4 linked regions of the Caenorhabditis elegans genome follow. The protein of the gene in region 4 interacts with the protein of the main gene of each other region in a pairwise test. Each region holds a gene or a part of one and is shown on either strand. Other genes may lie near its edges.

Evidence for each region.
Region 1: the proteins of lev-11 (region 4) and npp-3 interact in a two-hybrid assay, tested with the Caenorhabditis elegans proteins (one large-scale study listed by BioGRID).
Region 2: the proteins of lev-11 (region 4) and crb-1 interact in a two-hybrid assay, tested with the Caenorhabditis elegans proteins (one large-scale study listed by BioGRID).
Region 3: the proteins of lev-11 (region 4) and clc-1 interact in a two-hybrid assay, tested with the Caenorhabditis elegans proteins (one large-scale study listed by BioGRID).

Annotation. Positions count from the first base shown.
Region 1 is NC_003280.10:11,869,671-11,877,849, forward strand, and holds the start of npp-3 (Nuclear Pore complex Protein), read right to left. Parts: upstream 5,119-8,179; 5' UTR 5,024-5,118; coding exon 4,889-5,023; intron 4,842-4,888; coding exon 4,490-4,841; intron 4,430-4,489; coding exon 4,338-4,429; intron 4,289-4,337; coding exon 4,084-4,288; intron 3,930-4,083; coding exon 2,335-3,929; intron 2,283-2,334; coding exon 2,177-2,282; intron 1,742-2,176; coding exon 1,394-1,741; intron 1,331-1,393; coding exon 1,026-1,330; intron 980-1,025; coding exon 234-979; intron 173-233; coding exon 31-172; intron 13-30; exon of another isoform or gene 1-12. Other genes in the region: DNA topoisomerase 2 top-2, read left to right, coding at 5,487-5,586, 5,634-5,970, 6,024-6,756, 7,102-7,344, 7,395-8,179.
Region 2 is NC_003284.9:17,409,119-17,417,587, reverse strand, and holds the start of crb-1 (uncharacterized protein), read left to right. Parts: upstream 1-3,573; 5' UTR 3,574-3,738; coding exon 3,739-3,784; exon of another isoform or gene 3,785-3,896; intron 3,897-4,336; coding exon 4,337-4,622; intron 4,623-4,668; coding exon 4,669-4,768; intron 4,769-4,814; coding exon 4,815-4,965; intron 4,966-5,464; coding exon 5,465-5,607; intron 5,608-5,652; coding exon 5,653-5,748; intron 5,749-5,817; coding exon 5,818-6,259; intron 6,260-6,349; coding exon 6,350-6,489; intron 6,490-6,556; coding exon 6,557-6,670; intron 6,671-6,945; coding exon 6,946-7,127; intron 7,128-7,175; coding exon 7,176-7,407; intron 7,408-7,457; coding exon 7,458-7,553; intron 7,554-7,600; coding exon 7,601-7,751; intron 7,752-7,795; coding exon 7,796-7,925; intron 7,926-8,041; coding exon 8,042-8,205; intron 8,206-8,469.
Region 3 is NC_003284.9:11,043,504-11,051,066, forward strand, and holds clc-1 (Claudin), read left to right. Parts: upstream 1-3,942; 5' UTR 3,943-4,106; intron 4,107-4,732; 5' UTR 4,733-4,739; coding exon 4,740-4,827; intron 4,828-4,878; coding exon 4,879-5,003; intron 5,004-5,048; coding exon 5,049-5,140; intron 5,141-5,187; coding exon 5,188-5,329; intron 5,330-5,565; coding exon 5,566-5,667; 3' UTR 5,668-5,772; downstream 5,773-7,563.
Region 4 is NC_003279.8:14,626,644-14,635,048, reverse strand, and holds the start of lev-11 (Tropomyosin isoforms a/b/d/f), read left to right. Parts: upstream 1-3,954; 5' UTR 3,955-4,089; coding exon 4,090-4,134; intron 4,135-4,269; coding exon 4,270-4,407; intron 4,408-5,107; coding exon 5,108-5,164; intron 5,165-7,996; exon of another isoform or gene 7,997-8,069; intron 8,070-8,405. Other genes in the region: exoc-8 (Exocyst component Exo84 C-terminal domain-containing protein), read left to right, coding at 283-423. UniProt on the Caenorhabditis elegans protein: Tropomyosin, in association with the troponin complex, plays a central role in the calcium dependent regulation of muscle contraction. Involved in muscle actin filament organization and muscle arm extension and morphology.

The sequences.
Region 1 (8,179 bases), on a different chromosome or scaffold from region 4:
AAATTATTCACACACAAATTCTAAACTTACTCGAGGATATTCAACTTGAGCCAACTTGGTGAGTGTCAGTACGAGTCGGTGGAACGTCTGACAGGCTGTCACCAAGGAGCTTCCTCCAACTCCTGATGCCATTTCGATAAGCACATAGCAGGCATCGCGGAATATGACAATTCTGAAAATTTATGGCTCGTGAGGTTCAGAAATTAAGAAAAAATAATATTTGTAATGCTTACTGCATTTTGTTGGAGAAAAAGTTGACGGGGGCGAAAACGGAGAAGACGTTGAGTAGCGCAGTACATCCAGACACAATTCGCTCACTGGCGCTTTCCGATAAGAGACTTGCGTTAATTTCAGCACAATATTCAAGGACTCCTTCCATCTCTTTTTGTACATATTTCATCTCGCCTGATTCCGTATAGACTGTCTCAATCTCTCGTCGTAATAGTCGGTTCAAGTAGAGAACGTCATATTGTGCAACGCCGTAGATGTTCACTGTAAGGCATGCGTCAAAGAGTTCGTGAAGTTTTGCCACATCGAAATGCACGAGATTCGGGTAAAGTAACTCGTTCTTTCGTGGCACTGTGGCTCGTCGGATCAACGAGAATAGCAAATTCGCCTTGTCATTGCTTCCGGAAGCTACTGGAGCCATATCTTCATCATCGTCGTCTTCTTCCATTTGAGTATATTCAGCAACAAGAGATGATGATTCCAAGAGTGCACGATAAAGCTTCTCAGGTCGAGAAAAGTGGCCAGTAGTGAGCATTGCCGAAATTTCGACGGCGGCGAAGTGAAGAATGTAACCAACAATCATACGACGAACAGCGAATACACCTTGAGCATATGTATTGTCGCGGGCACTTTCCAGAGTGAGAGCCGAACAGATGAATGGAGATGTTGTCAATTTCTCGATAATATTTGAAGATCGCATGAAGCAGAGCACTGGTTTAGAGAATGGGCACGTGATCGAGACAAGTCTTTGCTGAAATAATTTTATAATTTTTTATTGAATACATTTAGAAACAGACCATCAGCCGGAATGCAGGCTCTAGTAGCGCTGAGAAAGGTAAATCGAATGGTTTCTTCGACATCACAAATTGCTCGATAATATACAGAACATAGTGAAGACCGGTGAGCACGTCGTCCGCTTGATACAGCTCCTTGGTATGGGCTTTTGATGGTCGGAATGCGAGAAGGTAGTAGCAAATATTGTTGGTATCAGTCAGACGATTTCCGGTTCTTGTTACTTGGCAATCGATGGCGTCCGAAAGAGTTTCGATGAGAATTCGAGCGGTTTCTCCTCTCGCGAAATGTGGATTATCTGTGTCTTCTTCTGAAATATAGATAATAATTTAAAATTCAAGATTATTTATATATATTATTTAAAATTTCAAACCTTTCGCCAATGAATCATCAATCGTATACTGAATCGACGTAGCGCAGATCGCCGCTCGAACCGCCCGAACATGAGATGCAGCCGAGTTTCTGGATCTTAACAACTCGAGCATCTTCACCTCGGCAGCTCCACGTGTAGCCATCACGTCTCGAAGAATTCTGGCAGCGTAGAGAGAGTGTACCGGGTAGTCATCAGTCATATGAAGGTAATGGAAGACGAGATCAAGAGGTGTGCAAGCGGAGGCTGAGATGATTGGTGAGAAGACGAGGGATGGAATGGAAGCGATCATAATATCACTGGATGAGACACGGGCACACGCACGAAGAGCCGGATGCAGAATTATTGCTCCTGGAAAAAAAATAATTAGGCCTGAATATTATTACATGTAATGTTACAGCATTTGAAGACGGTGTACAGGCTAAAAATGCCAAAATTTAGGGAAACATTCGATAATTCTAGCTAAAATCTTCAGTTTTGACTTATTTTCCGTGCTGCAGGAATCGAAAACAGACATTTACTCGATTATTGTCTTATTTTTACGCACTTGATGCGTTTTACTCACGCTTTTAGTTGATTTAAAGCTTCAAATCAACGAGAAAGTGTAAGATAAACGGCAAAAATAAGCAAAATAGAACACTCATTGAATAAAAATAAGTATCAAAATTGTGGATTTTAGCTGAAATTACGCCATTTTTCAACATTTTGAATCGCAATAAAAAAATTTCGAGCCATTTTTTTAAAGTTCCATCATGAAATTCGATATATTTGAGGCCTGAAACTCACGTGATAAAATTCGCAGTGCAATCAAAGCTGCATCGGATGATGGAGACTGCCGTGTGACGTACGGATCATTGTGAGCTTGACAATCCTCCATAATAACCCGCGTGATCTGAAATTCGATTTTTTTTTTTAAATAAAATTCAATAAATTCTGTGACTTACAGCTCTGTACATCGGCGTATCATTGAGGCACTGCGTCAAAATGGCAATATGAACTTCGTTCGATGCCACGGCTCTCGGCTCGACGATTCCGTGCTCGAGAAGTGCGTTGGTGGCTCGGAGCGACCACTCGGCGAGCTCCCACATTTGAACAACGCTATTATAGCTGCGTGTGGAGAAATGTGCCAAAATACTTCTGGTGACGAATTGGATGAATGGTGTAGCGTATTCCGGTAGAGATCTGTGCATCAGAAGGGTCGTCATCAATTTCACAAAAGCTAACGACACATCATATTGCTTCGCGACACATTCTCGTTCCTCGAGCTCCTGCTGGATTCCCATTAGTGTTCCACCATCCGAAGAATAGCACAATTGATTCAGATGAATTGCTTGCCAAATTCTCGGTGCGGATCCTTTGAGCCGTGCCACTGCCGTCAGCAAATCAAGCATCGATGCTTTCATAGATAGCGGTACTGGAGAAGTGGAGAGCGATGCGACAACAGAACACAACGTCCATGAAGGATCATCCGAGAATCGCATAGCGGCTCGTTCATTCAATTGAGCAACTTTTGTAGCCATATGGATCCAGGCTACTAGTCCGCTGAGCTCTTGAGCTGGGATGGTGATTTTGTCGCCTGGACGAAGTGTGAGATTGAGGCTTTGTTGTTGGTGGAAGCTGGTGCTCATACTCATTGTCTGACTTTGATTGTGACGAGAATTCGACGCATACTTCTGCTCCCGGTACAAACGATCGTAGCCTTTGAGTGCTGAAGCCAGAGATTCCCATCCATATGAATCTGGTCCACAATGTTCTTTGGAGAAGATGTCATAAAGTAGAGCAGCTGTGTTCTCATTTTTGCATACAGCAGCGCACATTTCCAGATAAGCAACTGAATGAACAACATGATGGTTTGGAAGACGAGCACGTTCCAGGAGCCGGCAGAGCTCAATCGATCTCTCCGTACTAAAAGCCATGCTGTTCTCTTCGATTTGCTCCTGAAGCTCTCGTTCGCGTGCTGTTCTCGCATTCTTCTGATGTGCATAGTCGGTCACTTGCATCTCGTATAAATCCACAAAGCATCGAAGGAAGTTCTCATATTGTGATAGAGCCGAATCATAGTTGTTCGATGGATCTGTAGAGCTCAGTTGAGCTGTAACTTTGTCCGTTATGTGGACTGTTTGGCTTTTCGGATCCGGTTTTTGAGTCGTTGATTGTTCCTTTTTCTGATCATCCAGGAAGTTCAGCTCGTCTGTAGAATTTCTTTCAGTCTCCATAAGCTTCGCGGGGAAATATGAAATCAGCTGTTTCAGAAGCTCATCAATAATCATAAACTGATGGGCATAACGGAAGTGTTCCGACTTGATGATCGCTTGTCGCAAGTAATGAAAAGCCATATTCCGGATAGATCGATCGATGACTCTTTCCACGTCCACCTTGATATTCTCGATCCCTAGATGATCTGATGGCGATGAGGCAATCGATTTCAGAGCAACAGCGCATGCTAGCTGTAGAGTTCCGCACATTGCTTGATCCGACCAGTCTGTTTCATTCCGAATGTGGGCGATCATGTTTGTGAGCACTTGTTGAGCATCGTGAACTGTAAACTCTCAAACAGATTTGTAACTGGATTTTTGGGTATAGGCATGAAGATGGAGTAGCGAGAATTGCTTTAGAAAATCGAAAATATTCTCGAATACAGAAAAACCACAAAAGAAAAACAGAAAAATCGCTACTCCATCTTCAAATATTACCTTGAGACAACACTTCACTCGATGTGATTTTAACGAGAGAAATCCAGGCTGTCAAGCTACTACAACTGAGCTTCTCCGGTGGAACTGCCTTTACAATTTGGAATAAATGATTTGAAATCGAAACTGCGTTTCCTCCCGGAATCTCACAGATCATCGAAATGCAACCAATTACTTCACTTCGAATCTCCTCAATGGCATTTCTGACCTGAAATTAATTTTATGAAAGAATTCCAAAATTATAATCAATTCGGTACCAATTTCTGATGTTTAGAGCCTCCTAAACCGTTGACATCTGGAGATTGAAGTCGTGCAAATTCTGATTGAACGGTGAAATTGATTAGTTGTTCTGAAAATTGGAAAAAAAAATTAGTAATATTTATGATAATATAATTTTTTGAAAACCCACGAAAAAGGTTTTTGATCACGTCCTCGTTGATGAATGTGCTATTGAGGAACTTGCTGATACGTTGAGGAATATCCTCTCGGTCCCATTTTAGCATTTGGCGCATTGTTGCGATTAGGAGCCTGTGCGCATCATAGTAGCAAACGACAGCGATTAATCCTCTGTTGAGGCCTTCGAAATGTATTTTTTGAGCTTCTCCGGCCAAAATCAAATCCACAGCTTCCAGCTCATTTAATTGAAAGATATCCGACAAAATGAGTGCTTCCGAACAGATTTCCTCGTCTAGCGCAACTTCCACTCCTGCCATTTCCACATTTCCTGGCTTCAGCTTTTCCCGATCTTTACCCGTTCGTCTCTTCAATTAGAAAGGTTTATTACACTAACATCAGTCGGAAAACATACCGGATTCAAAAGAATATTGCTCAATCGCCATCTGTATTTCTCGATTTCGTTGAACAGCTCGTTTATTTTTCGGTCGTCATCGAAAGCTGTGAAGGAGACGATGAGTTCGTAAAATTTACGAATCTCAATCCACATTTTGAGCTCTCTAAAATAAATAAAACATTATTTAGAACAAAAAGTTACTTTTTTTGAATTTTTTCGCAAAAAAATTACACAACTTCTATCTCGCAATGCATTTCCGTAAGAGACGCAGACACAAAAACTAAATTTCGTATTTCGAGGCTACAACTACGGTAACACTCGTTTCAGCTGTGTATTTTTCGCGCGTTCGCTGCGAGACCCGACGCTCTTAGGCCGCCAATTTCGAATCGGACGCTCATTTTGGCGCGCTCAGTTGTTTTTTTGTGCGCTCTCTAGCCGGCTGTCTTGCATCGATTCAGTGTTCAGTGTCCAGTGATGTCCACTGGTGTGCTAGTTCTTTTTCTCTTCACTCATTTTTCTTCGCATCCTCAAGTTTATTGAATATTCACCGCGTTTCTTTCTCTCTTTCTCCCGATCGTCCTAAAATTAAATGTCATCTTTTTCCAGATCTCTAACAATGAGCGACTCTGATAGTGAATTCTCTATCGAAGATTCACCCAAGAAGAAAACCGCACCAAAGAAGGAGAAGGCGTCACCGAAGAAAAAGAAAGATGATGGTTGGTTAATTTGTAGAGTTTCTTGAATCTAATTTGCTTCTTTTCAGCCAACGAGTCGATGGTTATGACTGAAGAGGACCGCAATGTGTTCACGTCGATCGACAAAAAAGGTGGTGGCTCGAAACAAATGGCGATCGAGGATATCTACCAAAAGAAGTCCCAACTCGAGCACATTCTTCTTCGCCCGGACACCTACATCGGTTCGGTCGAGCATACCGAGAAGACGCCGATGTGGGTCTACAACATGGAGGAGAGCAAGCTGGAGCAGCGTGACATCTCATACGTGCCGGGACTCTACAAGATTTATGATGAAATTCTTGTGAATGCCGCTGACAACAAACAGAGAGATCCGAAGATGAACACAATCAAGATCACCATCAATAAGTAAGTTTAGACCGTAGCATAAAGGAATTTAATTTAATTTTGCTTTCTTTCAGGGAGAAAAATGAGATCTCTGTCTACAACAATGGCAAAGGAATCCCAGTCACTCAGCACAAAGTGGAGAAAGTCTACGTCCCAGAGCTGATTTTTGGAACTCTTCTAACATCTTCTAACTACAATGACGATGAGAAGAAAGTGACGGGAGGACGCAACGGATATGGAGCAAAGCTTTGCAACATCTTCTCCACAAAATTCACTCTGGAGACGTCTTCACGGGATTACAAAAGTGCATTCAAGCAAACGTGGATCAAAAACATGACGCGTGATGAGGAGCCGAAGATTGTTAAGAGCACCGACGAAGACTTCACGAAGATCACATTCTCGCCGGATCTGGCAAAGTTCAAGATGAAGGAGCTGGACGATGACATCTGCCATTTGATGGCTCGGCGTGCGTATGATGTGGCTGGATCCAGTAAAGGAGTCGCCGTGTTCCTCAATGGAAAACGAATTCCAATCAAAGGATTCGAGGACTACGTCCAAATGTACACTTCGCAGTTCAACAATGAAGGAGAACCCCTCAAGATCGCATACGAGCAAGTTGGAGATCGTTGGCAAGTCGCCTTGGCTCTTTCGGAAAAAGGCTTCCAACAAGTGTCATTTGTCAACAGTATTGCTACCACAAAAGGAGGACGGCACGTGGACTACGTGGCTGATCAGATGGTCGCCAAGTTCATCGACTCGATCAAGCGGAAGCTCACAAAGACGTCGATGAATATCAAGCCATTCCAGGTAAATTTCGTCGAATTTAAAATATTTACCGCCAATGATGACTCAAAATAGCTATATGAACTCTTTGGTGACTCGATAATAAGAGAAATCTGAAAATTTTCAAGGTTTTTCTAGAGATTTCACCGATTCTTTTGAAGTATCGGTGCACCAAGTGAAAAATAAAATTGCGACGCTTTAGTGACGCTGGAGAAAGTTTTTATCCAGTGTCTAAAGGCGCGGCGCAACATTTTTAAACTTTCCGATGATTTGTGATTACTAAAAGGCGAATCTGAGGCGAGGAATTGCTAATGCGAATTCAAATCTAATAAATTTTCCAAATATTCAATTTTATATCAAAATTTTCAGATCAAAAATCACATGTGGGTTTTTGTGAATTGCTTGATCGAAAATCCGACATTCGACTCCCAGACGAAAGAGACTATGACCCTGCAGCAGAAGCAGTTCGGATCGACCTGCGTCCTCAGCGAGAAGTTCTCCAAAGCGGCTTCAAGTGTTGGAATCACCGATGCTGTTATGAGTTGGGTTCGCTTCAAACAAATGGACGACCTCAACAAAAAGTGCTCCAAGACGAAGACTTCCAAGCTGAAGGTAACAATTCATCTAATTCGTGGCCTTGTTTTAATTAATATTTATTTCAGGGCATTCCAAAGCTTGAAGATGCCAACGACGCTGGAACCAAAAATTCCCAACAATGCACATTAATTCTGACGGAGGGAGACTCGGCCAAAACGCTTGCTGTTTCGGGACTTTCAGTCGTTGGACGCGACAAATATGGAGTATTCCCACTTCGAGGAAAATTGCTAAATGTCCGAGAAGGAAATATGAAACAAATCGCCGATAATGCTGAGGTCAATGCCATGATCAAAATTCTGGGACTCCAATACAAGAAGAAGTACGAGACAGAAGATGACTTCAAGACTCTTCGATACGGTAAACTGATGGTCATGGCTGATCAGGATCAAGACGGTTCACACATCAAAGGACTCGTGATCAATTTCATCCATCACTTCTGGCCTTCTCTCATTCAGCGGAACTTCGTAGAAGAATTCATCACTCCAATTGTCAAAGCCACCAAAGGAAAAGAAGAAGTTTCCTTCTATTCGCTCCCAGAATATTCTGAGTGGAGAATGAATACGGATAACTGGAAGTCGTACAAGATCAAGTACTACAAGGGATTGGGTACATCGACTTCTAAGGAAGCTAAGGAATACTTCTTGGACATGGTTCGTCATCGTATCCGCTTCAAGTACAATGGAGCTGATGATGATAACGCTGTCGACATGGCTTTCTCGAAGAAGAAGATTGAAGAGAGAAAAGACTGGCTCTCGAAGTGGATGCGGGAGAAGAAGGACCGAAAGCAGCAGGGACTTGCTGAAGAATATCTCTACAACAAGGACACTCGATTCGTCACCTTCAAAGATTT
Region 2 (8,469 bases), on a different chromosome or scaffold from region 4:
TTTGATAGTAAAAGCTAAAATTGGAGTAAAGTACTCAACAAAAAAAATCAATGATTTTTTCATTGTTTTTAAAGTATTATTCCAAGTTCCTCACACATTTCGTCAAATTCCTTTTGTTTTAATGTGCTGAGATTATTTATACATTGCCTGATGAATTTTTCATGCTAATTTGAAACGTTTGTTTTCTTTTAAATTCTGAGACAATTTCAATGCTTTAAATTACAAAACTTCAGCTCTATTGCTGCATTTTTGTATCAATATTAAAGGTGAAACAATATAGCTAAAATGTGAAGTCAAACAAGTATTCGTTGAACTTCAAAACATTATCCATGAATCCTGTGAGCTTTCGTAAAACGTTCGTTTGAACTTTCCTCAAAAATCTGCCTCCACTCGAAAAATCAGAGAAATCATGAGCCAACACAGTGGTGTCGAATTTCCGCAAAAGTTGTATTTTCTCGGTGGGTGGTCTTGGGTTTAGCATGGTGGTCGTACCTTCCATTCATTTTTGATTCATTAACAAAACACATACTTGGGCAAATAAAAAGGTGGCTAATTGAATAAGTTTTGAAGGGGGCCAGGGAAGAAGATGGGGTGCGTGATTGTGGAAATTAGAGCAAGCAACAAGGTAAACGTAGTTAATTAACACTGCGAATAGTTGTTGAGGACATGTCTGGCGGCGGCGGGGTACGCGTAAAACGAGAACGTGCTAACAATTTCAAAACAAGTGACCATTTTTCGAAAAGCATCCACTTGCAAACCCGGCTTTTGTATACTCGCTTCCCCATCCGCCGCGCTACAGTACAAAACGTTTTGGTGCGCGAAGTCAAGAAGTTGCTGGACACTGCGGTGGCTCTTTAAGTGGCTCAGACGGTTTCCGATGGGGTGTGCTCTGGGAGCCCAAGATGGTGAGGGGGAGAGCCTAGCGCTTGCCCAAACAAAGTCATATCCCCCCTCCTTCCAACCAACTCAAGTGTTGTTTCTGTGCTTTTGGAGATCGTTCGATAGTTGATGAGTCTCTTTTAGGTATTCAATCTTAGTTTGCTCTCAACTCTTTGCCCCTGCTTGTTGATACTTTTTACATTGTAATTAAGTGTCATTTGCAGTGATTGGGCCTGCTGCTTAGTTCTATTTCTGGATTGTGTAATTCTAAGTTTTTGATACAACTACTATGTATACTACTAGATTCCTAAAATTGCAAAAGGCTCTGTAAAATAATTGTAATGGTTTTTGCATTATTACGTACAACTGTTCTAAATTAATAAGTTATTTTTATAAGGTTTTGTGTTTGAAAACGTAAGGTACTTAGTGAAGTTTTATTAGTACAGGAAAAATAGTCAGAATTTTTTAATAAATTTTCTAGCTCGATCTACATAATTAGTATTCAAAACCTTGATTCGAAAATAATTGTCTCACTGTTAGTCAACAAATCATCACGGACTATTTGTCTTCAATTATCTTGTTCATATCCCTTCTTCTCGCCATAACCGGAAATGCCTCGAAACAAATACATGTGTCCCTTCACTCTTAATACACCCTATATTCCGGTCGTCCACGCACCTTTTTTTCCTCAGCAGTCCATCAAGTGTCCCTCCGTCCTTTTCTGTCATTTGCTGCACAATTCTATTCTTTCCAAAAACTCTTTTTGTAAGACCTGGGGTTATGTGTGCACTGTTATCAATACCATGCTCTTTTCCATGACCTTACGACCCCGCGCGCGCGCAATCGTTTTGTTTTGTCTATATGCGTGTTTTTTATTGACTGACTGACCACTACATATTTGCGGCATATTCAAAAAAAAGGTGTTTAGAGATAGACAATTAGGCGACGAGATGTATCATGCACACATACATTTTTATCTTCTCTAGCGTATTTTTGCGCCGTATTTTTTTTCTGATGCAAAGTCCCCAGATAATACCATAAGTAGAACGCGATCCGAGAAGCTAGCCACAGGGGTGATTTTTTTTCGTTGCTAATTTTTTTTTGCTTTTCAAAATTGTTGTTTTCCGTAAGTACAATTTTAGCATTTTTTTTAGGAACGACAAAAAATCGTCAGATCAATTTGTAATTTGAAATTTGAATCCAAATAATCTCTTGGTTTTAAAAATTTAGCATTTCAACAAATATCAACACAAAAACTAAGTTTAATTATTCAATGTTTATCAACTGAATTTTTATTAAATTGAAAAAAAAGTTGTTTTTAAAAGTTGTTTTTTAAAAATTTATTTCATCATGTTACCGTGAATTGAAAATTTGAACTTTTCAGTTATTTGAGAAGATTCCCTATTTTGAAAATGTTGGCAACATATTTTTGAGCGTAAAATGTTCACAATGAACTGTAATTTTTTGATTAATCAAAAATATATATCAGAATCAATTTTAAGGTTTGTGACCTCCAACATTTCCAAAAAACATAACTGATAGCATAACAAGTAAGTTCAAAAACTTTGCGTCTCTTGAGTATTATTGGGAGGTAGTTTGAAATTCCCCAACTATCTTTGAAACATTTGAGAATTTCACTTTTTAAAATTATGTAATTGATTCACTTGTTGGTATTTTTCCATGAAATTCCGACAGTTTGCCATTTCCAAATGCGCGGTCATTTGTCAACTGTGCTCCGCCTTGGCCTTCATTTCTACTCAATTTTCTCAGCAAAGTTTGTCCCGTCTAAACGGAACTACTAAACTTTTTTGCTTTTGCCGTTTTTATTTCGGAAATTTTTATTTGAATTTTCATCCAAATATTTTCTAAAAACGTATTTCGATATCGGTAACCCCAGCAAATCTCATTTTTCCGCATAACAGGACAAACACACTGTCCTTTTCGCTTCACTTTTTTGCTATCCCCTTCTTTTTTCCGTGTGCGTGCCGGGTGAAACTAGTCTCATCATTTGAAAATTGTCTGTATAATATCCGACCTACTACACATAAAATATATAGATGTTGGAGATGTTGACAGCCGGAAATTGTTTGGAACTAATTAGCTGCTGAGGGTTTTTTGCTGTAATTCAAGTGGACCCAGCACTTTTTGAGTATTTTGAATTTGTACTTACGCATAATTAAGCTTGTTCATTCTTATTTCTTTTAAATAAAAAAACTCCTGAAATCACAATAAAACAATATTGTCGCTTGTTATGGGATAAAACCCCATATTTCAGCTAATTTTATTAACACATACAAGTACATTAGGAACTAGATGATAATAAAAAAAAGTAGGAAATATTTTATCAGACGACAATTAAAAGTAAAATCAAAAGCATGAGCTGCCAAACTGAAACGAGCACAAAAAAAATGTCGAAATTGTACAAATACTCTCGAAAACCTTTTTTTTTAACTAAACGCTGAATTTCTATGTTTTCACTTTTTATAAACGTTTGAAAATTTTGTATATCTTCAATCACTCGGTCAACTGAAACTTTCCCTACTATTTCCAAATTACCGTCGAAATGCCACAGGGCAGCTAGCTGACCCCTGGCAACCACGAGATTCCCCCCCCCCCCCCCTTCATCTCTCTTGCCCGTGTTTCCTCTTCCGTTCTAATTACCTGCTTATTATCCGACAATACACCTGGCTCTCTAGGACCTTCTCTTTCTCTCTCGCGTCACTCCGGCAGCTAGCGTGTGCGGTACAGAAGAACAATCGTCAAGCGGCAAACTACCTTTTTTACCTCCAAACACAAAACAATTCGACTAGCTGCCGTCATTACTCCTATTTGGGATCTGCATTCAATGATCTACCACTCATGAAATATCAACATTTTCTCATATTTTGTACCCTGGTTACAAATGGTAAGTCTACTACTAAGATATGATGTCATTCGGTTTCACAGACTGATTGATCTGAGTGTGAAAAGTTTTGGTTTAGACTAGATGAGAGATAGAAATGTATAACACGAAGTTTAAGTGAACATCTCAAAAACTGAAAATCTAATTTAAATTCAAAATATGTTTGAGAAAGTTGATTTTGGGCTTTTAAGTGTTGAGCATTGTTGTATCTGAAAACTCTCAATTTTTGCAGCCCATCTCTTCTTTGATTTTGTAATCGTTTATATATTTTCAACTAAAATTGTAAACAAATAACTATTAACATATTTGTCGGTTAACAATTATTTCAGAAGCCCAGACCTTTTCAATAAAACACATGACTTCTTTCTCTGAAAATTAAATGAAGCTCGTATATTTCATACCAAAAAACAAAATAAATTTCTAAATTTTGTTTTCCAAAGATCAGTTCCAATCTAAAACTTGGACAAAACTACCAACTGACTTTTTGCAAAAAGTAATCCATCATTATCATTAAGACAGATGAATACCACAAGCTGTCACTAAAACTCTTTTCAGCACTATGTAACAGAGCGTGCAGTCGGAACACATGTCTTAACGGCGGAACTTGCACAGTGAACGATGAGACGCGAATGTTTCAGTGTGAATGTCCGAAGGGTTTCAGTGGGTTGCTATGTCAGGACAACTGCTCTTTGCACTGTCTCCACGGTAACTGCGTGAAAGGAACGTTTGGCGAAGAAACTTGCCAGTGCTCCGAAGGATGGATGGGCTCACTTTGTGATAATCTAGTTACTGATGATGACACTGCTCAAAAGTGCTCACCGCAATGTGGCGATGACGAAAGGTATACATGACCTTGTGCAAACCAAAAACATGTATGTTTTTTATAGATGCACAAAAGGAGCCGACGGATCATACATTTGCCAGAGCAACGAGCCGTCTTGCGCAACACACACTTGTCAGAATAACGGCACTTGTGTTGCCGAGAACGTGAGTGACTTGAGTCCAGAGTGATAAAAACCAATAGAATGTTCAGGGAAATGTAAAATGTGCCTGCCCACCTGGATTTGTTGGAGATCACTGTGAAACTGACGAGGACGAGTGCAAAGAAAATTTTTGTCAGAATGGAGCAGATTGTGAAAATTTGAAAGGAAGTTATGAATGCAAATGTTTAAAAGGATTTTCTGGTGAGTTTTGGTTTGAAAATTTGGATGGGAAGGATGAAATATAGTTTTCCAGTAGACATAATTGTGAAAAAAAAACCTGAAGTTTGAAAAACGTTTAGTTAGATTTTTTCAATAAGACTAGTGTGAATTTGATCAAAAATCATTTATAAGGTGCTAAATGACCAAATGTCATAAAAAATTTTCTAAACAATTCGGGGATTTTTTATCTCGAGTCAAAAATCGCATACATGTTTTTGCCACGTTTCGACAAATCTGAAGCATTGTCATGTTGATCCCTTTTGGCTCGAAATAAAATCATTTCTTCAGGTTGTTCAAAAAGTTTTATTATGATATTTGGACAAATACCCAGTTTTTTTGCAATACTTATAGTTTTCAACTTTCTTATTATTTTCTCAATTTTGTTAACGTTGCTGATTTGTTGAGAGTTTACATTCGAATAAATTATTTTATAAAAACAAAAGAAAACTAAGAAGAAACATGTTTTCACAATTTCTTCTAGGTAAATACTGTGAAATCCAAGACAAGAAACAATGCACTTCTGATTATTGTCACAACAATGGTCAATGCATTTCGACTGGCTCCGATCTCTCCTGCAAGTGCTCTCCCGGGTTTGATGGTGCATTCTGCGAGCTCAAAGCAGAGGTAACACCAATTTTCTCACTGTTAATTGCTTGTGTTTTTTCTCAGGTTAACGAGTGTATATGTGAAAACCCGGCTCATGTTTGTTCACTCGTAAACGGGACGTCAAGGACAACGCAATGCGAGTGTCCTTCGGGGTTTATGGTACGTTTGACGAATAATCTGGGCATGTTCGGATATGGGTCCCTCGCGCAATCTATCGTTTAATTGCAGGGTGCCGACTGTAAAGAGTTGCAAGCTCGTCCATGCGATCGTGAGCCGTGTCTTAATGGGGGTCACTGCGTCGACGACGGGCAGAATCTCTTCACCTGCTTTTGCCTTCCCTCTTTTACCGGCATCTATTGTGGAGAGCCTGTTGATTGTCTGGTTAATGGATCGGATTGTAAGAATGGGGGAAAGTGTGTGTTCGCGTTAGCCGCAACTACCTGCCAGTGTCCGGAAGGATTCAATGGGTCCAATTGTGAAATAAGTAATTCATATCGGTCACATCCAACATGCAGTGACATTCGATGTTTGAATGGTGGAAGCTGTAAACTCGACGCAGAAGGGGAACCGTTTTGTGTATGTGAAGAAGGGTTTGATGGACCGTTCTGTGAGCCAAAATCTGGATGCACAATTAATCCCTGTCAAAATGGAGGAACTTGCCAAGATGCAGGTAATAAGAAAAAGAATAGAGTTTTTTAGGGAGCTGTAAATTAATTTTTGTGCTGATACTGATACTCTTTAAAGTTTTACAATTTTTCAGATGGACAATACTTCTGTCATTGCACATCAGGCTTTGGTGGCGTCCACTGCGAAACGGTGGATGAGCCTTCAACCCCTATTCCCACATTAGGAACGTTTCCATCTTTTACAACTTCTGGAATCGACGGATTCTCTCAGAGTGTGAGTGTTTTAGTTTTTTATTCAAAATTCGTTCATAATAAATACTTGCAATATTAAAATTTTTCAGAAAATATCTTGCGAAGACTGCGTCAACTCATCCAATTGTCTTGACGTCGAATCTGGGCCAGTTTGCATTTGTGATGATGGATATTTTGGACAAAAATGTGATCAGAAACATGATGTAGGTTTTTTTTAAATGAAAAACAGTGTAGAAGAATGCTGAAGTTTTACGAAATTTAATTGTGTCTTTTGAATTCAAAAAACTAAAACTAAAATTATATTTTTAGTCTTTTCTATGTTTTGTAACATAAAGAAATTAGTCCCTGATTTTGTTCTACATTAAATTTGAGACAGTAAGTTCAAACAGTTTTCCAGAATTGTTGGTATTATATATGTACTTTAAGAAAATTTTAAAAAGTAAAAAATGTAGACAAATCATTCCATTCTTATTTTCAGAAATGCTCTAAAGTATCCTGTCCATCTGGTCAAACTTGTAGCCAAGTGAATGATAACGTGAATATCACTGCACAATGTGGATGTGAAATAGGCCACTTTGGACAACAGTGTGAAATGGTGACGTCAGCAACATTTTCGGCGAAAAGTTTGTATATTCATCAGAGCTCCAAATTCTCCCTTGGGTACTTTCTTTTTCTCTAACTATATATTTTATGAAAAAAGCATTTCAGAACTTCTTCATTCGAAAATATTGCCTATGAACTAGAGTTTTCGTTCCGCACAACTGTGGAAAATACCCATTTGGCGAGCAGCGAGAACATTCTCGGAGAGAAGATTTTGTCTATTCAACTTTTGTCGGGATACTTGGTGTTCAACATGACCGGAAATTCGTTGGAGCACCTGCTGCCAATGAGAGTTAGCGATGCTCAATGGTATACAGTGTTTGTAAAGGGAGAGGATAATGTAAGTTTAAATTTTTTTTAACTTGAGTATATATTTTTAATTTATTACAGAAAATCCAAATCGAAGTCTCCACTGAAAATGGGTTCAGTCTAGTTCAAAAGTCAGTCAACGGACAGCTTGAAGTGTTCCTCACCAGATTTGGAAAGGTATTAGCGTATGAAATACACTCTTTACTCAATAAACTGATTTACAGATCTCTGGAACTCATCACTTTATAGGATGCATGGCTGATGTTCGAGTGGACGGGGATCTCATAATTTTTGCAGATAACAAACGAGCAATTGATATTAGAAAAGGGTGCACTAGAAGTGAACAGTGCACCAGAGCATACTGTCAGAATGAAGGTTAATTTTTTCTGAATGATGAAGTTACAAAAATAAAGCTTCAGGAATTTGCATTGACCATTGGGAGAGCTCAAGTTGCAAATGTAAACCTCCATACCTGAAACCAAATTGTGTATATTTCCTCCCCAAAACGACCTTTGGACATTTGGACCAGCCCTCAATTGTGCATTTGAGGTAATTTGTCAATAATGTGGAATTTTTTTTTTGCAATTTGTGCTAATTGAGCAAAACCTAGAAATTTGGAATCCAAAGCACTAATACTAAATAAACACAATAATTGGACTATTTAGCACAAGCGAATCGGAAAACCACCTGCTCCGTAATCACATCGAGTTGAGCTTCTTAATGCATTCCGGCAAACCGGATGCCGTTCTGTTCTATATTGGCGAGAAGCACGCCGCAGATGTTCTGACTAATTATCTCGTCGTCAAGATTGCTGGCGGTCTTATTACAGGTGAGTCGAATCAATTGAACACCTGACGAGTTGGGGATTAATTTGCGAAAAGAAGTGGAAACATGTTGGTGTTGGAAAAGGTCTTGTGAATTCTGGAAAAATGAAAAAGCTATAACTAATAATTTTTTATGTATTCAAATGAAAGCGCATACGGAATTTTCATGAACAGCGATAAAAACTCATAAAGAACCCCACTTCCTCCTTCACAGTCCAGTAATATTCTGTGATTCAACAATTTCAATGAAATTTTCACTAAGATAGTTG
Region 3 (7,563 bases), on a different chromosome or scaffold from region 4:
CATGTTTGTTTTACAAGGATGTATTTAGGAAAAATGAGACCAGCTTATTTAGACGTGTGTTTGGGGGTGACGAACGGTTTTTTCGAAACTTTCCATCGTCATCATCTCCATCAATACACATTTAAAATGTATCTATTGGAAAATCTCTAGAAAATCATAGTTTGTTTGCCCAAGTCAGACTTTTCTTAAGCTGCATGCGAAAAAGAGGCTGAATCATGGAGCATACATAAGGAGCACATAATGGAATGATTTTTGAACAATCCATACTTGTAAAATTGTATTTATCACTTACTTCACATTATATTAGAAGACGGTTTTAAAGAATTCTAATACACATATAATCTACACTACGAAATGAAATGGATTTATTTCTGAACTCTCATTTCACGTTCTGTGTGCGTAATAAGTTCAAAAGTTTAAAGCCGAATAGTTTAACAATGAGTTAACTGAAAAAAAAACCTGAGAAATGTTTAAATTATTTACGAACTCCGTCTGAGAAAGGAAATGAGAAACAAGCGGAAGACGAAGGCGTTGAAAATGACGGAGGCGGTTCAAAATCTTCGCTTCAAATTTCAAAAAATGGATGAGAAATCGGAGAGCCCTGGTGAAGGAATGAAAATGATATTTCTAGAGCAGAAAGTCATTCCAACATGATGTTCAAAACAAAATGAACTGAACTTAAAAGAAGTCGGTCACATGGCTCTGATAGATTTTTGCGCACTGATTCGCAAACACAATTATGAGGGCACGCAGTTGCACTTTTTTTTTTTTTTGAAGCAACTTTTTAAACCATTGCAACAAGAAGATAGGTGCACCTTTCTGAAACTCCAAAACAATTACACTAAGGTATTGAGAAGTATTCAAAAATCTTTAAAAATTTGTTTGAAATACGAAAAAAATCCAAGTTTGAGTTCGCCGAAATACTGTGCATGAGACATACATATGCCAGAAAAACAACTAGAATGTTTTGTAACAACTGAACTGTATCAAAAAGGTTGTATGAAACCCCCTAATTTATTTGGAAAAGACAATTCCTAAGAATTTCTCCATTTAATAAATTGTTATATTTCACTTGTAGAGTTTGAATAGTTCTACCTTATTATGCATTTGATTATTTTTCAGAATATCAATTTCCAATTGTATCTTAAAATTTCTCGGTTTTTTCAGCATTGACGCAGATGATTTTGATCAGTTTTTTACGATAAATTTGCATTTAATATACATATTTTTGTTGTTAACTTGTGAAAAATTATTCAAATATGCACTGAAAAAATGGGCATCCTAGTTTTTTTCAAGTGCATTTTCTGTAGAATTACAGAATTTAGTTTTGCTTGCAAACAATCTCATCAATTTTTATGATGTATTTCCCAGGATGGTATTCAGTAGGTTTGACACGCTTATTTCTTGTAAAAAATTCCGGAAATTTTTTTTGGAAAGTTCAGAGAAACTGAAAACGTTTATTGTCTACTAACTCATAAGCTGTTTCATTGGTTGTTCTATGTATATACAGTATCTTTTGAATTCATCGAGTTAAAAAAAAACACTTTACTTTTCAGATCTCAAGTTGAAAATCCTTTTGTATATACGAACACCTTTTCATAGCTTCTTTGTCAGTTATTCAAGTATGATTCTACGTCATAGCATAACAAAAAGATGCGTTCTCACATAGAAAATGAAACACAAAAGACAACATATTATCAAACAACTTTTCTGAAAAGAAAATATATAAACTTTGATTGAAAGGTGACAAGAAGAAGAGTTAATACTGTCAGCGCTACACGGCTAAAGTTCATTGCCGTTACGTATTTGCATATGTCAAATACACTCCTTCACGCTGTTTCTTCATATCTTCTTTTCTTTTCCAGCATTTATTTTTCATTTTCCCAACGGCCGCAGATTTCAATCGGATGCCGTTCGAGCAAGTAGTTCCGTTGATTACATTTTCAGTATGTATTTTTAACATTTTCACACGTTTCGAAGAACATTTGGATAATAACACATCATATCCAAGTTTAAAAATACCAGAGAAAGTAGAAACCTCTACTAAATTAAACAGGATGTTTCAACAAAAGCAAGAAATAAAAATGATGAGAATGTAAATAGTATCTTAAATAAACAAACGCTCTGCATTGATTTGATGCTAGAATGAGTCAGATGTTTTTTGAAAAGTACTAATCACTTGTTTTTTTCAATCAACTGTTGTTTGTAAACTTTCAGATCTTATAAAATATTTGCAATACTACTTCAATTGTTCAAATTAAGTTTTTTGAGGATATGTTCCAAGAAACTGTTTCTCTGTTTACTTTCATTCCTACTCATTTTTAGTTAGCAATTTGAGAACTTTGTATTAATGGAAACCCAAATCGAACAGATCTACTACATATGATATTTTCGTAATTTGAATTAGCAAAACTCTTTCAGTAGGGATTTATGGAAATTGGAACGTTCGAGAGAAACCAAGCTATGCTAAACCTTTAATTTTTGCCAAGTTGCTTCTATTGCTTATTTTTATAATTTTTTAAAATAATTTGGTCCAGTTTTCAGCGTTTTTTTGATAACTACAGAAATTTTCACTGTGAAATTCAATTTTTTGGTTTTATTTCAAGTCCATCAAAACAAACAAATCCACAATTAGTGTCGTGAACCCGTCGTGAACCCGTGTCGTGAGCATTCTCGATGTTCCAAGTTTCATACGTTTTTTGCAACATGCTGAAATAGACAACATTCTTCTTTTGTATTATAGATTGACATTGGTAGTCTTCAAACTCAAAAAAACCTAAAGGTGGAGTAGCGCTAGTAGGGAAAGAGTGAAAAACTATTCCTATGGTTCCAAAATGACCGAATAGCATAATAAAATGTTTCAAAATTTTTTTGAAAACTTTTTTTTTGTTTACTGTCAAAATGTGAAAATTACTCAGTTTTTGCAACTAATTTCGGAAGTCGACCAAAAAAAGTTTGTTCCTACATTTTTTATCATACTGTAACTTTGTTTTAACTATTTGTAATAGAATATTGTAGTAGTCGGAACATTCGACATAGTTATGGATTTCCTCAAAACTCACATTTTTTTCAAAATTTTGACAACTTGCCAAAACTTTGACCGGAAACTAGAAAACATCTAAAATTTGTTGGAGTTTTTTCTTATGATATTCGGTTGTTTTAGATCATTATAAGTGCATTTAGACGAAATCCCCACTGGTGCTACTCCACCTTTAAAGGTTCGGTTATTTCACATACCTGATACACTTTGAAAAATGTCAAGTCATAAATTCCGTTTATCATTATTGTTTTGGTTATTTAAAACATCAAATAACCTTCTAGTAAATATTATTGTTCAGGCATGTATGATAAAAATCTTGAACAATTTGCTAACGATCTGATTGGAAAATTAATTAGCTTTGATTTTCCAATCTTTACCAAAAAAAAACCAACAATTTAAAGTTATTATTATTTCCACGAAATAAAAATGTTTTCGAATTTTTTATATTTCCAGACGTAAAAAGAAAGTTAGCTGAAACCACCTGTTTCTTGCCAATAAATCAGTTTTTTTTTTAAATATTCACAAAAAAATCATTTGAAAGTTTGAAGCTTGTTTCAAAACATTTTGAGTGAAGCTTACTAAACAAAAGTTTTTGAAAAATGAAAACACGTCACTTTTGTGTTCGCATATACGTGATTCACCGTAAACTCCACTTTTGTAAAACTACGAAAGATACTGGCTGAAATGATAGGAAAATTCGTCGAAATATTTGAGCATCTGACTGTAAGTTGATAACGATTATACGAACTAATCACCGTTTCCATCTGCTCAAAACTCGCTGACTCACAAAGAATTTTAACAGAAATTAAGAAATGGCTCTATGTCAACTTTCAAAATTCTACAACGCCCAACTTGAGTTTCTTATCAACACTTTATTTTTTGGTCTATCTCTTGACTGAATCATACCGAAAACGGTTACATGACGTGTCGAGGAGTTCTACTGATACGAGCAAGCAAACGCTTTATTTCTCTCCACCTCTTTACTTTAAAACTAGCCTAACTCTTGTATATAACACACATTTTTCATATTTTCTATCAAGTTCACGCCGTCCCATCGACATTTAAGGTAAATATTTGAGTGTTCAATCTTATCTATGAAGCATTTTTTTCATTCCAGTTTGTGTGACATAGCACGTTGCCATTCCTTATTTCTTGAAAACTAGTTCGGGTTGTGAAATTTTCTTCCAAAATTGGTCCTTTAGTAATGTAACTTGATACATCAGGTTTTGTGAAAATATTTTGAATGCTTCAAACGACGTTTGTTGTTTTATTTTTCACTCTCCGAGTATCTAAAATCTATTCAAAAATTAAAAAAATCCGTTTTGACTTTTTGCATCTAGTTTTATCACTTCTTCCTGTGTCCCTCCCAAACTTTTACAGCCCAGTTGGCAATGGCGATAAGAAAAACACTGTTTCTGCCCACTTTGAGCATTTATTTCATCATTTTCATATTTTGGTTAAGATGTATAGTTGTCAAATGTGCAGGCTATTTTAGTATTTTGTGCTGTCGTCATTCTTACATTGAAGTGCATTCTCATTCCGTAACTAGGTGGTTGCATAGATGCCACCATGTGTTTGTCTGTCGTCAATAGAAATTTCCATATTTAGGAGAAATTGTTTTCATACTTTTTTAATACTTTTTGTCCGTCAATCTTCTGAAAAAAATATTAAAATTAAAACCATATGTTTCAGGTTCACAATGTGTCTTTCCGGACTCACCCAAATTCTCTATGGACTTATTATGGCTGGTAGTGCTATTTTAACAGCAGTTGCTTTGTTTACGCCAAGTATGTTTCATCTTTGGAGATGTTAGAAAAAGTGAATTTTCAAACTCTCAGGTTGGAATACTGTTGAAAATAATGTGAAAGATATAACTCATATCAACACATCTGAATGGAATGGCTTGATGCCTTGGTCATGTATTGGTCACTCTCAGGGAACCCAGTGTCAGGATTGGTGGGCGGTATGTTGATGAAATTATTTATATGCTCAAAAATACTGTTTTCAGAATCTTCCAGGATGGATGAAATGTGTCGTCGTCTGCATGATCCTCTCTTTGATTGTCCAAATTTTTGCAGTTGTCTACAACTTTTTGACATGGTTAGATTAGCGAAAGCCGACATTAATATAATTCAAACAACTTTCAGCCTTGCCTGCTGCTGCAAGAAATATATCATCCATCCACTCACCCTCTTTGCAGTCATCTCTACTATTCTTCTGCTCATCGCTGTTATTGTTTATGCAGCTGAATGGAATCAATTTACAAATGGAATTAATACAAACTCGCAGGTGAGAATGCTATTCTTAATGTGGGAAAAAGTGTAAAATTATTTGATTGAAACTATTAAACTTCACTAAAACTCTTTTTTTACACATGTTCTAACCCTTTAAAACCCGATTATAAAGCTTTGAGAAACCCTCCCTATCTCACATTGAACAACTTTTTGGCCAATCTGCACATACCCTAAGGCGCAAAAGCTGCTCATAAACCTTTGTTTGTACAAACTCACAACTTAATTTTTCAGCTTGGATACTCGTTTTGGCTTGCAGTTGGAGCCCTCATCTTATCTGCGGCGGATGTCATTTTGGGAGCACTAACAGTGTGTCTTGGGGAACACTGCTGTTAATTAAACTTGATTATATTTATTATTTCCCTGCATTTTCTGTGATATAAACTGCTCAGCCCAGACGTCGGCACCAATCTATTTGTTAAAGCTTTGTAAGATTTTGAACTTGGTTTTTCGCATTTAACGCCGAACTACACTGAAAAAGTGCAAACAAGACTGGCAAGATGGGGACGGCAAAAAATGTAACGGTTTTGTGTTTGTAAAAGGTCTTTTGAACTGTGGTAAGACATGTGAATATGTCTGTTCTTAGTGACACACTGACGTGTCACGAAGATCAGGAGCAATTTTTGTCGATTTTTTTCGACTTGTTGCTCCCAAGTTTGCGGCGTGGGAGGCATCACTACTGAGGCTCGGTCAAAGAACATAGTCAATTATTTCACAGTTTCTTAAGAATTTGAAAAACGCGCGCAGCGAGAAAGATCATTAGTTGAACTCGGAACATAATATGTTAGATGAAATGTAACAATGCCAAGTGTTTGAGCAAAAATTGAAAGATGTATTGTGCAACAAAGGTTGAAAAAGTGAGTCATTGTAAACATTTTGATAGAAGTAAAGATTGGTGAAAATCTTTAGATAGTGACATGAATTCTAAAAAGTTGTTTTTTCTGTGAAAGCAACTGACTGACAATTCAATATATGACTATATACAATATACATATTCCGCTTATTAAAAATGTGTTTTTATTTTATTTTGCACTATTTTTTTAAAATAAACATATTTAAAAATTTGTGTCAAATTAATAGTTTTTATTACAATCACTGAATTCACTTTTTCATGAACAAGACTTTAATTGATACATTAAGAGTTCAACGAAAAATAATTATGAAAACATGAAACAGCTTCTGCAAAAATATATATAATTAAATTCAGATAATAATTTACTAAATTTTTAAAAACCGATTTTTGAGTGGTTGCGGTTCTAAGAAAAATTTACTGAAGTGGACCTGCAAGATGACTGGCACCCAGATTTTTTTGTAGAGAAATTGCTACAAATAATCTAGACATACATAGGTATTTCTCCTGGAGAAATCCTAAGTTTTTGAGTTATATACATTGGAAAGTTAAAAAAACTGGAAAATCAAAAGTGAATAGAATATTGGCCAGTACTGTATATTATAGGTTATTGCGATCTAGATATGAATTTGAAGGCGGATGGGTTAAAGATGAACAAGCGCCAGTTTGGATTTTGTTAGAAAACGTTTCAAAGATCGGAAGTATCTTTTTTAAAATCTCCTTCGGAGATGATGGCCCCTCGAGGATGAGGGCCCCTCGGGGATGGGTGTCCCACGGATGAGAGGCTCATCAGCGACGGCAGCCTCTCAGGGATGGGGTTCCTCGGGGTTGGGGGCCCCTCGGGGATCGGCTCCTCTCGGATAAGGACCTCTCGGGGATGAAGACCAGTCTGGGATGCGGGCCTTTTGGGGATGCGGGCCCCTAGGGAATGGGGGTCCCTCGGGGATGGGGACCCTCGGGGATAAGGGCTTCTCAGGGAGAGGGCAATTCCCCGGAGAATCATTCTGAAAAAAAAATCATTTAAAGTCAGATATCAATTATTAAATTTATGAAAAATAAGTAAATATGACAATTGATAATAGGTTATATTACATCTAAAAAAGTGCTGTCACACATATGTCTTAAAATTCAGATTTTCTAATTAAACTCAATACTTCGGGAACCTAATAAATTTTTGTATTTAAATACAGAACAGCAAAAAATCTCCAACAATTCCACATAAAGCATTCGGAGAAACGTTTCATTCGTTTATTTATAAATCATAAAAACATGATTAAAATATGAATCTCGCAGAAATGTTTTGTTTGGTCGACTACTTAAATTAGGATATAATTAGGATTAATCTGCATAAATATCACAATGACTAGAGCTACATTTTTTGA
Region 4 (8,405 bases):
TTTGTAGTTTGTAGTATTAACACCAAAAATTTCAGTTTAAACATCAATTTTGAAAATTTTGAATTTTAAAACAATTATTTTCAACATTTTCAAAACTGATTTTTCCTCTTCCACGTAGAAAATTAGTCTAAGCTCTTTTTTCGTGTAGTTTGTAGTCTGGGCTTTACTGGAACGATCTACATGCAATTTTTAGAATAACTTGAACGAAATAAGTGTAACGTTTTGTAGTTTGTAGTGCACAATTATTTTCAGACCCTTATTCAATATATCCATATATTCCAGGTACTCCCAGTGTGCGATAAAATCCTATACGGCGAGGAAGGCGAGCTCATTCGCCTGATTGATCAATTCCCCAGCCTGGCTCCGTACGCAGACCCATCTGATGAAGAGAAGAAGGATGATGAAGAAGTTGCTCATGTTTGATGTACTTTTTAAAATTCGAATTTTAAAAAATAATTGCACCCGCTTTCTGTGATATAGATTCTATTCTTGTCTGAAAATTTTTTTCTCCATTTTTTATATTTATTTTTAATTTCCCCGCTTCGCTTTTGTTCTATTCTCCAAAAAACCGAAAACATGAACATTTTTGTTTGAAAAAACAAAACACAGCGATGATGTGTCATGGCTTCCACATAAGCCACATCATCATTTACAGTATCAAAAAAAAATGAAACACGCGTGAAAAATGCCACAAAAAAACAGCTGACATCGAAAAAAAGAGACAAAAAATAATATACTTTCCACAACTCTCCTCCTCCGCAGAAGATTTTTGTGTGGAGCCCCCCCCCCCCCCCGACCAGCAATCTCTGATTCTCTAATAAACCCGGGGAGACGGGCTCTTCAGAGCATTACAACAATTGGTGAAGAAGCGTCGGTTAGCGAGAATGAGGTGTGTGTGTGTGTGTGTGTGTGTGTGCACTAGTGGAATAGGAAGAAGAAGAAGCACAAAAACATGAGCATTTTTTCGAAAAAGATATGTACGAGAGAACACATGGGTGTTCTCATTTGACGAGTATATTGAAATTTGGAAATTTTATTAAGGTACTACCGTAAATATATACACATGCATATGAATGAATATACATTAACAGAAAACCGGAAAAAGAAAAATGTACACTGTTTTCGATATTGCTAAAAACATCAAAAATCCCCATATCCGTTCAAAAACAATATTGTGTTATATTGTTTTACAGTAATGAAATTGGAGGCAAACTGTCCCCAACTACCGGATTTTGTAATGAGACGTCTTGAAAACTTCTCATTACGAAATTCGGTCTTTTTGGGGCATTTTAGTCTAATAGAGCAAAAATTGACTTATTTAAATATTAAATTATTAACCTGAATATATACTGAAATGGAACACCGACTTAAAATAAAAATTGATTATAAGGATTTTGTTTAAGTATTACCGTAAATATATTCAGTAACGGAAAATCGAAAAATGGAATGTGTACACTATTATAGTAAATTTTGATACCGTTAGATAACAATTGCATGTTCAAAAATTTGTATTGAAAAAATTACTAAACCTGACAAAAATTGAATATATACTATATTATACTGTATTAGAACTGTTATTGCTATATAGCCTCTAATGGGAAATGATTATTTGCTATGGTAAATATCCGGAAAATTTTAAGTTTTTTTTTAAAAAGCGTAGCTGAGTAGTAAAGCTTAATGAAATAATGCAGTAAATACGAAAAATGCTAAATTCAGACAGAAAACCACAGTCTTCAGGAAATTTCGGCTGACACTACTTATTTTCATTAACGTTCAATTTACGATAGCGTGCAAAAAGTAACAATATTTCCTCTAGCCTTATGTAGACTAGAAGTTATGGTAATCACGTTTGATATAAAATTGGGTTGAAGTACTTAATTTTGCGAACTTATCTGAAAATTGACTAATCCGTCAATGCATAATTATAGTAAATATGTCATTTTGAACATTAATTCGGATAGAATGAAATTTAGAAAAGAAGTGTCTTTTCTTTTCCGACACATCCAATACGAACAGATATTATATAACGAGGTCCCCCTAGTCATATTACATGCAAGACTAATCGATAGGAAATAGTGTAGCAAGTAGCTGGTACTATTCATGGATCTATTTTTCATCACCATTATATAATCGTAATACATACATACATGCATATATACATGATCACGAATCTTAGTTGACATTAAATTATCACGACTTATTTAGAAATACTGTCTATGATAAATAGTTTTAACAAGTATTCTCCTACAAAATCATTAAATATAACCCTAAATTCAAAATAAACCACTACTATTATACCTCTTCCACATAATCCACTGATATTATCAAACAAGTTGCCCTCTTGACAATAAACTCTCGAACGCCAACTGTTTCGAATGTTTTGTCGTCGGCTGGATGCCACAATTGCTTCTTTTCGGGGATAAGAAGAAGAGCATATACACACAAGTAGTATTGGATTCTAATGTCAGGATTTCAAAAACTGAGACTCTGATCATTGACCGACTTTTGGGAATCTGAGATAAAAAAAAAGAACAATAACAAAAAAAAGTTTAAGGGAAGTAAATGCGTTTCTATGGATAGTGGGTAGGGCTGTACAAATCGGCGTCCGGTCGTCCGATTTTGACACCACCGGACGCACATGCGTCCGGTTGGGGGTAGCTATCCACGACGGCCGACAACTTCCGAGTTTCGCCACTCACTATACTTAATCAGCAATTTTATAGTGAGTGGCGAAATTCGGAAATTGTCGGCCGTCGTGGATAGCTACCCCCAACCGGACGCATGTGCGTCCGGTTCGAACTTCGGACGACCGGACGTCCGGTTGTACAGCCCTAATAGTGGGTAAAGAGAAATGGAAAAATATGGGAATGTATGAAAATTGGAAAGATGAAATGTGGTACTTCTTATTGTAAAATTAGACACTAATCAAATTCCGGAGAACAAAGCTATGTAACATGGCACTGTAAAAACTGAGCTTGTCATATTTTTTAAAATTCAGTTTTGATTGTTCAGTTTTCTTTAAAAATTCATTCATGAATAGTTACAGTAATAGGATATCTTATATCACGTGTGCATTAGTGTTGCAACCCTTTCCATAAAGTTTCAAGGTTCTTAAAAAAAGGTTCAACTGGAAAAAAACCATACTTGTAGCATACTCTTTCGTAGTGTAATATTACTAGGGAAGCCCAGATTTATGATATCTGTTCATATTGGATGTATGGTGAAAGGCAATATGATTTCGTTATGTTAGGCTTGAAGGCTTGTTAATAGGCTTTAAAAAAGGCTACCAGTAATGTTAATGTTAAGGTTGAAGCCTTGTTAGGCCTCGAAAATGAGACACTTATTTTTTAATTTTAACTCCATTAATGTTCAAATTTAAGGATGTCCTTAAAAATGTAACTAATTTTAATGACACCATTACTTTAATAATTTATTAAAGTTTTAGTCAATCTTGAGTTAAATTTTCGAAAATTTTGCAGCAATTTGATTTTACATCACTTATGGTTATTATTACTAACAGTCTAGATATATAAGAAATATCGTTACTATTTGTACGATAACGTAATTAACAATCAAATTGATAATCGTTTCAATTTTTTAATGTAAAGAGGCTCAGAACGGCTTTTGCCACGTCATCAAGCGACCACGCGAATATCGGTCCTGGAACACCATACCACCTTACTAATTATGTGGTTTTTTTTTAAAGTTTTGTTCCTTTTTCCATTCCACGAGAAACCCTTCTTCTCCCCAATCATCATCTTTTCCATCTGCCATCGGCTCTTGCTCTTCTCCCCACAATTCCCGTTGCTCCGTGTGTGCTGTAATATGCTCCAGGGGGGTGGGTGGGCAGGGATCCCATAGGCATAGGTCTCCACGAAATCAATACTATCTAATCATCTGCCACACCCCCGTCTGATGTTGTGGAGGAAGTGAGAAGAGAGAAGAAGAAGAAGAAGAAGCGGGGGCTCGTGTGGGAGGAGTCTCGTGAAGACGGGAACCTGAAGCTAACGGGAGAAGAAGAATCATTCTCCCCTCCAATTTGAATCGTCGATACTCCGTGTGTTTCAACACAACAACAAACTACCAAAAATGGACGCCATTAAGAAGAAGATGCAGGCCATGAAGATCGAGAAGGTTTCCACACTTTTTTTAAATTTTAATACTGTTTTATAGTGAATTTCTTCAACTTTTTCAATTTTAAAATTAGTAGTGGTCATATACATTCCAATATTTTGAATTTTTCCTCAAAACCATATACACATATTCTAGGACAACGCTCTCGATCGTGCCGATGCCGCTGAAGAGAAAGTCCGTCAGATCACCGAGAAGCTCGAAAGAGTCGAGGAAGAGCTCAGAGACACCCAGAAGAAGATGACTCAGACCGGAGACGATTTGGACAAGGCTCAGGTATGGGTTTAAGCCAGAATTTAGGCTCTTTGCGTATATTTTATCGATTTTAAGACCCCATATAAACTGGCTTCCTAAATTTTCGCTTAGATCTTGGTTTGATAAGACTTTAAGCTATCAGATTTTTACCAGGAAGCTTAAAAATTCATGAAAATCGCAGGAGTTTCTAGAAGTTCCAAAATATTGTCTAGCTTCTACTTTGATACCATATATAATTAGCGTATTATTAATACCTACTTTCTCAACTTAAAGCCGCTATCCCGGAAGATTTTGGCCTGAAACTGAGCAAAGTTCTGAAAAGCAGAAGTTGAGCTCTAAATTTCCTAATTTTTTGGAATCAAGCTTTTACAATACCTTATATATAGCGAATTTTGATTACAGTCCGATTTCAGAAAACAAAATTTTTTAGAGACACTGGCGCTCAAGTAACCTATAAAATCTTAAAGTATAACTAAAAATCACCCTAAAAACAAAATTCGAAATTCATAGTGCAGGGTGCTCAATTTGTAACTTTTAGCCCTAAAAATTTAACCTGGAATCTAAAATTTACCTAGGACACCACTAGAAATCAAATTCGAAGCTCATGGTGCATCGTCCACCTAGGTCTACCTGTCTCCCTGGGCTTATGCTCCTAAGCTGAAACACTTAGGCTTAAGCTAAGCTAAAAGAATAAGCTCAAAATCAAACTTCCATTTTTCAGGAGGACCTCTCCGCCGCCACCTCCAAGCTCGAGGAGAAGGAGAAGACCGTTCAAGAGGTGAGTCGACTTTCTTTTTAAAGCCCAATCCGGGCAGCTTTTGGTTTCTAAACCGACTTCAGGTATTTCCAATTCCCAATCCACAAGCACAACGACCAGGTTTGTGGCGCGATGTTCAAAGTCAATTAATCCGTTAATTAGTCAGTGAGTAGTTGGAATGAAGAGAGAGAGATACATACATATATACAGCTAGTTTTCCATTCCTGTCCTTTTGGGCATGAAAATGAGTGAGAGAGGGTGACGTTGATGATGATCCGCGGTTTTTTTCTCTTTTCCACCCTCTTTCTCTCACTTCCCATAGGCTTCTTCCCCCACCGGGGTAGCTATTGTTTTGTGTGTGTGTGTGTGTCTTCTTTTTTCAATAATGTTCATATATATATATATATATTGTTTCTTCAAATGTTTGGTATACATTGTACTGTATTCAATCATGATTCACTTTTTTCATTCCGTCGAGAGTCAGAGATAGGGTACTGTAGAAATCCTTCTTTCCCGAAAAAGACTTGATCAGGGTGTGGCTGTTATCTAGTTAGCATGTTATATAACATTATGTAATGATGTTCAAACCAGATTGGCATCACTTTTAGCTCGGTTTTCCAGATTTCCCAATTTTGTAAGTTGTCATTATACTGTTTTATTGAAAACTGATTGTGAGCAAAAAGTGTTGTCAATTTATGTAATTCCCTTTAGTCATTGCTATACGTTCTTGAAAAAATTTTGTTGGCTTAAAACATTCTTAAGCTCCGGCCTTAGCCAAATTTTGCAAGGCTACTTTTCAATATTTCGGAAAATTCTAAGTGGTGCCATGTGATATTTAATTTTCTAGCTTAACAAGCTATTAGTTTTCAAGTACTGATCCTAAAAATTTAAAGCTTAGAGCAGTGGCATTTTTTTTGGAATTTCACTAGTCTGGCGGTAACTTTAAGCGAATGTGATCTATTAACACGTGGTGCCAGGTTGTCTCATTGAAGTTTGATCTACAAAAAATGTGGGAATTTTTAGTCAGCACATTCTTAGCCATGCGAAATCAGTTAAGAACTGTGCGTCTCTTCTCCCGCATTTATGTAGATCAAACCGAAGTGAGCCACTCTGACACCACGTGTAATATAATAATCCAGCAGAATTCAAATTCCTCGTGGTGATTTTTCATGCATTACTTTTCATAGTCTTCGAAAAAAATGCTCAATATTTCCAACTTCGGAGTATTTCAAGTGTATGTTAAGCCTATTTTGAATCCCACGCATCACCGAATTTATCTAGATTCCTAGAATATCTACAGTGCATTTTTTTCCACTTCTCCAACTTTAAAGGAGGGCGCATTTATACGAAATGGTCCCGCCACGCGGCCCAAAAATCAATGCGTGGCGGGACCATTTCGTGTAAGTGCGCCCTCCTTTAAAGCGGTAGAAGTGGAAAAATATCAGTGATTTTTAGGAAAAAAACCTTTTTTTGTCGAGAACTTTTTTCCCTCTCCCGACGTTTTTTTTGCACACAACTTGGCGCGCCGAAATCCAATTTCTTTGCGAAAAGCTCAATCCCATTTTCCGTTACTGCTCAAATGAGCGAGAGGCGAAGAAGAAGAAGAAGATAAAGTTCGAGGAGTGTATGAAGTGCTGTTGGGGGCTTCCTTCCCCTGCCTGCGCCATTGTCTAATCTCTAAGTCTCTCTAGCTTCTCTCTCTCTCTCAATTTCTTCTCTTCCAACTGATTACAACGAGATGTTTGCTTTACAACAACTCCTCCCCGCCAATAGGCTCCCGAGGGCTCACTGAGCATCAACGGGCGGCGCGGCGGGAAAGAGAGAGAGAGAGCATCTCCCCCGCAATTTCAAGAAACGAGGAGAGCTGTGTGATCGGCTTCTCGGCATTTTTCAAGGGGCAAGTGAATGGCATGTCAGTTGAAATGGAAATAAATGAGAATAAATGAAAGCGCACACACCAAAATAGAAACTACAGTAGTGCCTAATGGGTCTCGCCACGATTTTCGTAAAAATTCTAAAATTCCTAGGATTTTCTTCCGAGAACTAGGCAAATGCGCTGCATTTTCAAATTTTTTAAAGGAATTTGCAGGGTCTTAGGTACTAATTTCTAGGGGTTTTATTTGACATTTTCAGGCGCTTATTGCGGAATTTCTTACTTTTAGTGTCAGGCTGTCCCATTACTGTTTGATCTACAAAAAATGCGGGAAATTTAGAAAGAAATTACAATAGTACCGAGTAGGTCTCGCCACGGCAAGTAGACGCAAGTTTTGACTCTTTTTGTGTAAGGTTTTCGGTGGAAACTACTCTACAATTCCCAGGGTTTTCCCTCAGATTTTGGTTCTCAGATACAAATTTCTAGGGTAGGCCCTTAATGCGAAAATTCTTACTTTCGGTGTCAGGCTGTCCCAATACTGTTTGATCTACAAAAAATGCGGGATTTTTTGTGACATCAGCACGTTTTAACCATGCAAAATCAGTTGAGAAGTCTGCATCTAAATCCCCGCCATTTTTGTAGATCTAGGTAGATCACACCGAAATGGGACGTGCTTTTGAAGGGCAACTTTTGAGCGCCCAAAAGTTCAAAATTTTGGGGAATTTTCCCGCCTAGCTAACAATTTTTCCTGAATTTCCAAGTTTGTTCGGCCAGTGTTCCCAGTTTACAAAACTGGCATTGAACTGTCATTCAGCTCAAGACCACCTACCAATTAGAGACACCTTCGGTACATACACCCCAGTCAGCCGGTTTCCCGGTCTCCATCTCTACCACAATTTGAATAGAACATGTAATTCGGGTAAATACTCGACGTCTTTTCTTCCTCTCTCTCTCTCTCTCTCTCTCTCTCTCTCTCTCTCTCTCTCTCTCTCTCTCTCTCTCTCTCTCTCTCTCTCTCTCTCTCTCTCTCTCTCTCTCTCTCTCTCCAATTTCCTTCTTTTGTTGAAGAACACGTCAATGTACCGCCCTTCCGGTCAAAACACTCAACAGGAAAAGGAAAGGTCTCTCTCTGTATTTGGGAAGAAGATGCCAATCTGCGTTGCAATATTCTTCGCCCCCTGCCTCCTGCAAAAAGCTATTCATCAAGCCACGTGCCATTGTGTGGGACATCTCTTTCTCCTTCTATGTCTCTTTTGGAAGCTCTTTCTATGTCATACAACATAGTATTCGATTACTAGTCACTTGGCTTCACCCAGATGGGTCCAGTTTCTTGGAAAAACGCTACTTTTTTACAGTAAAAACATAATTTTTTGGCTCAAATTTTGAAAT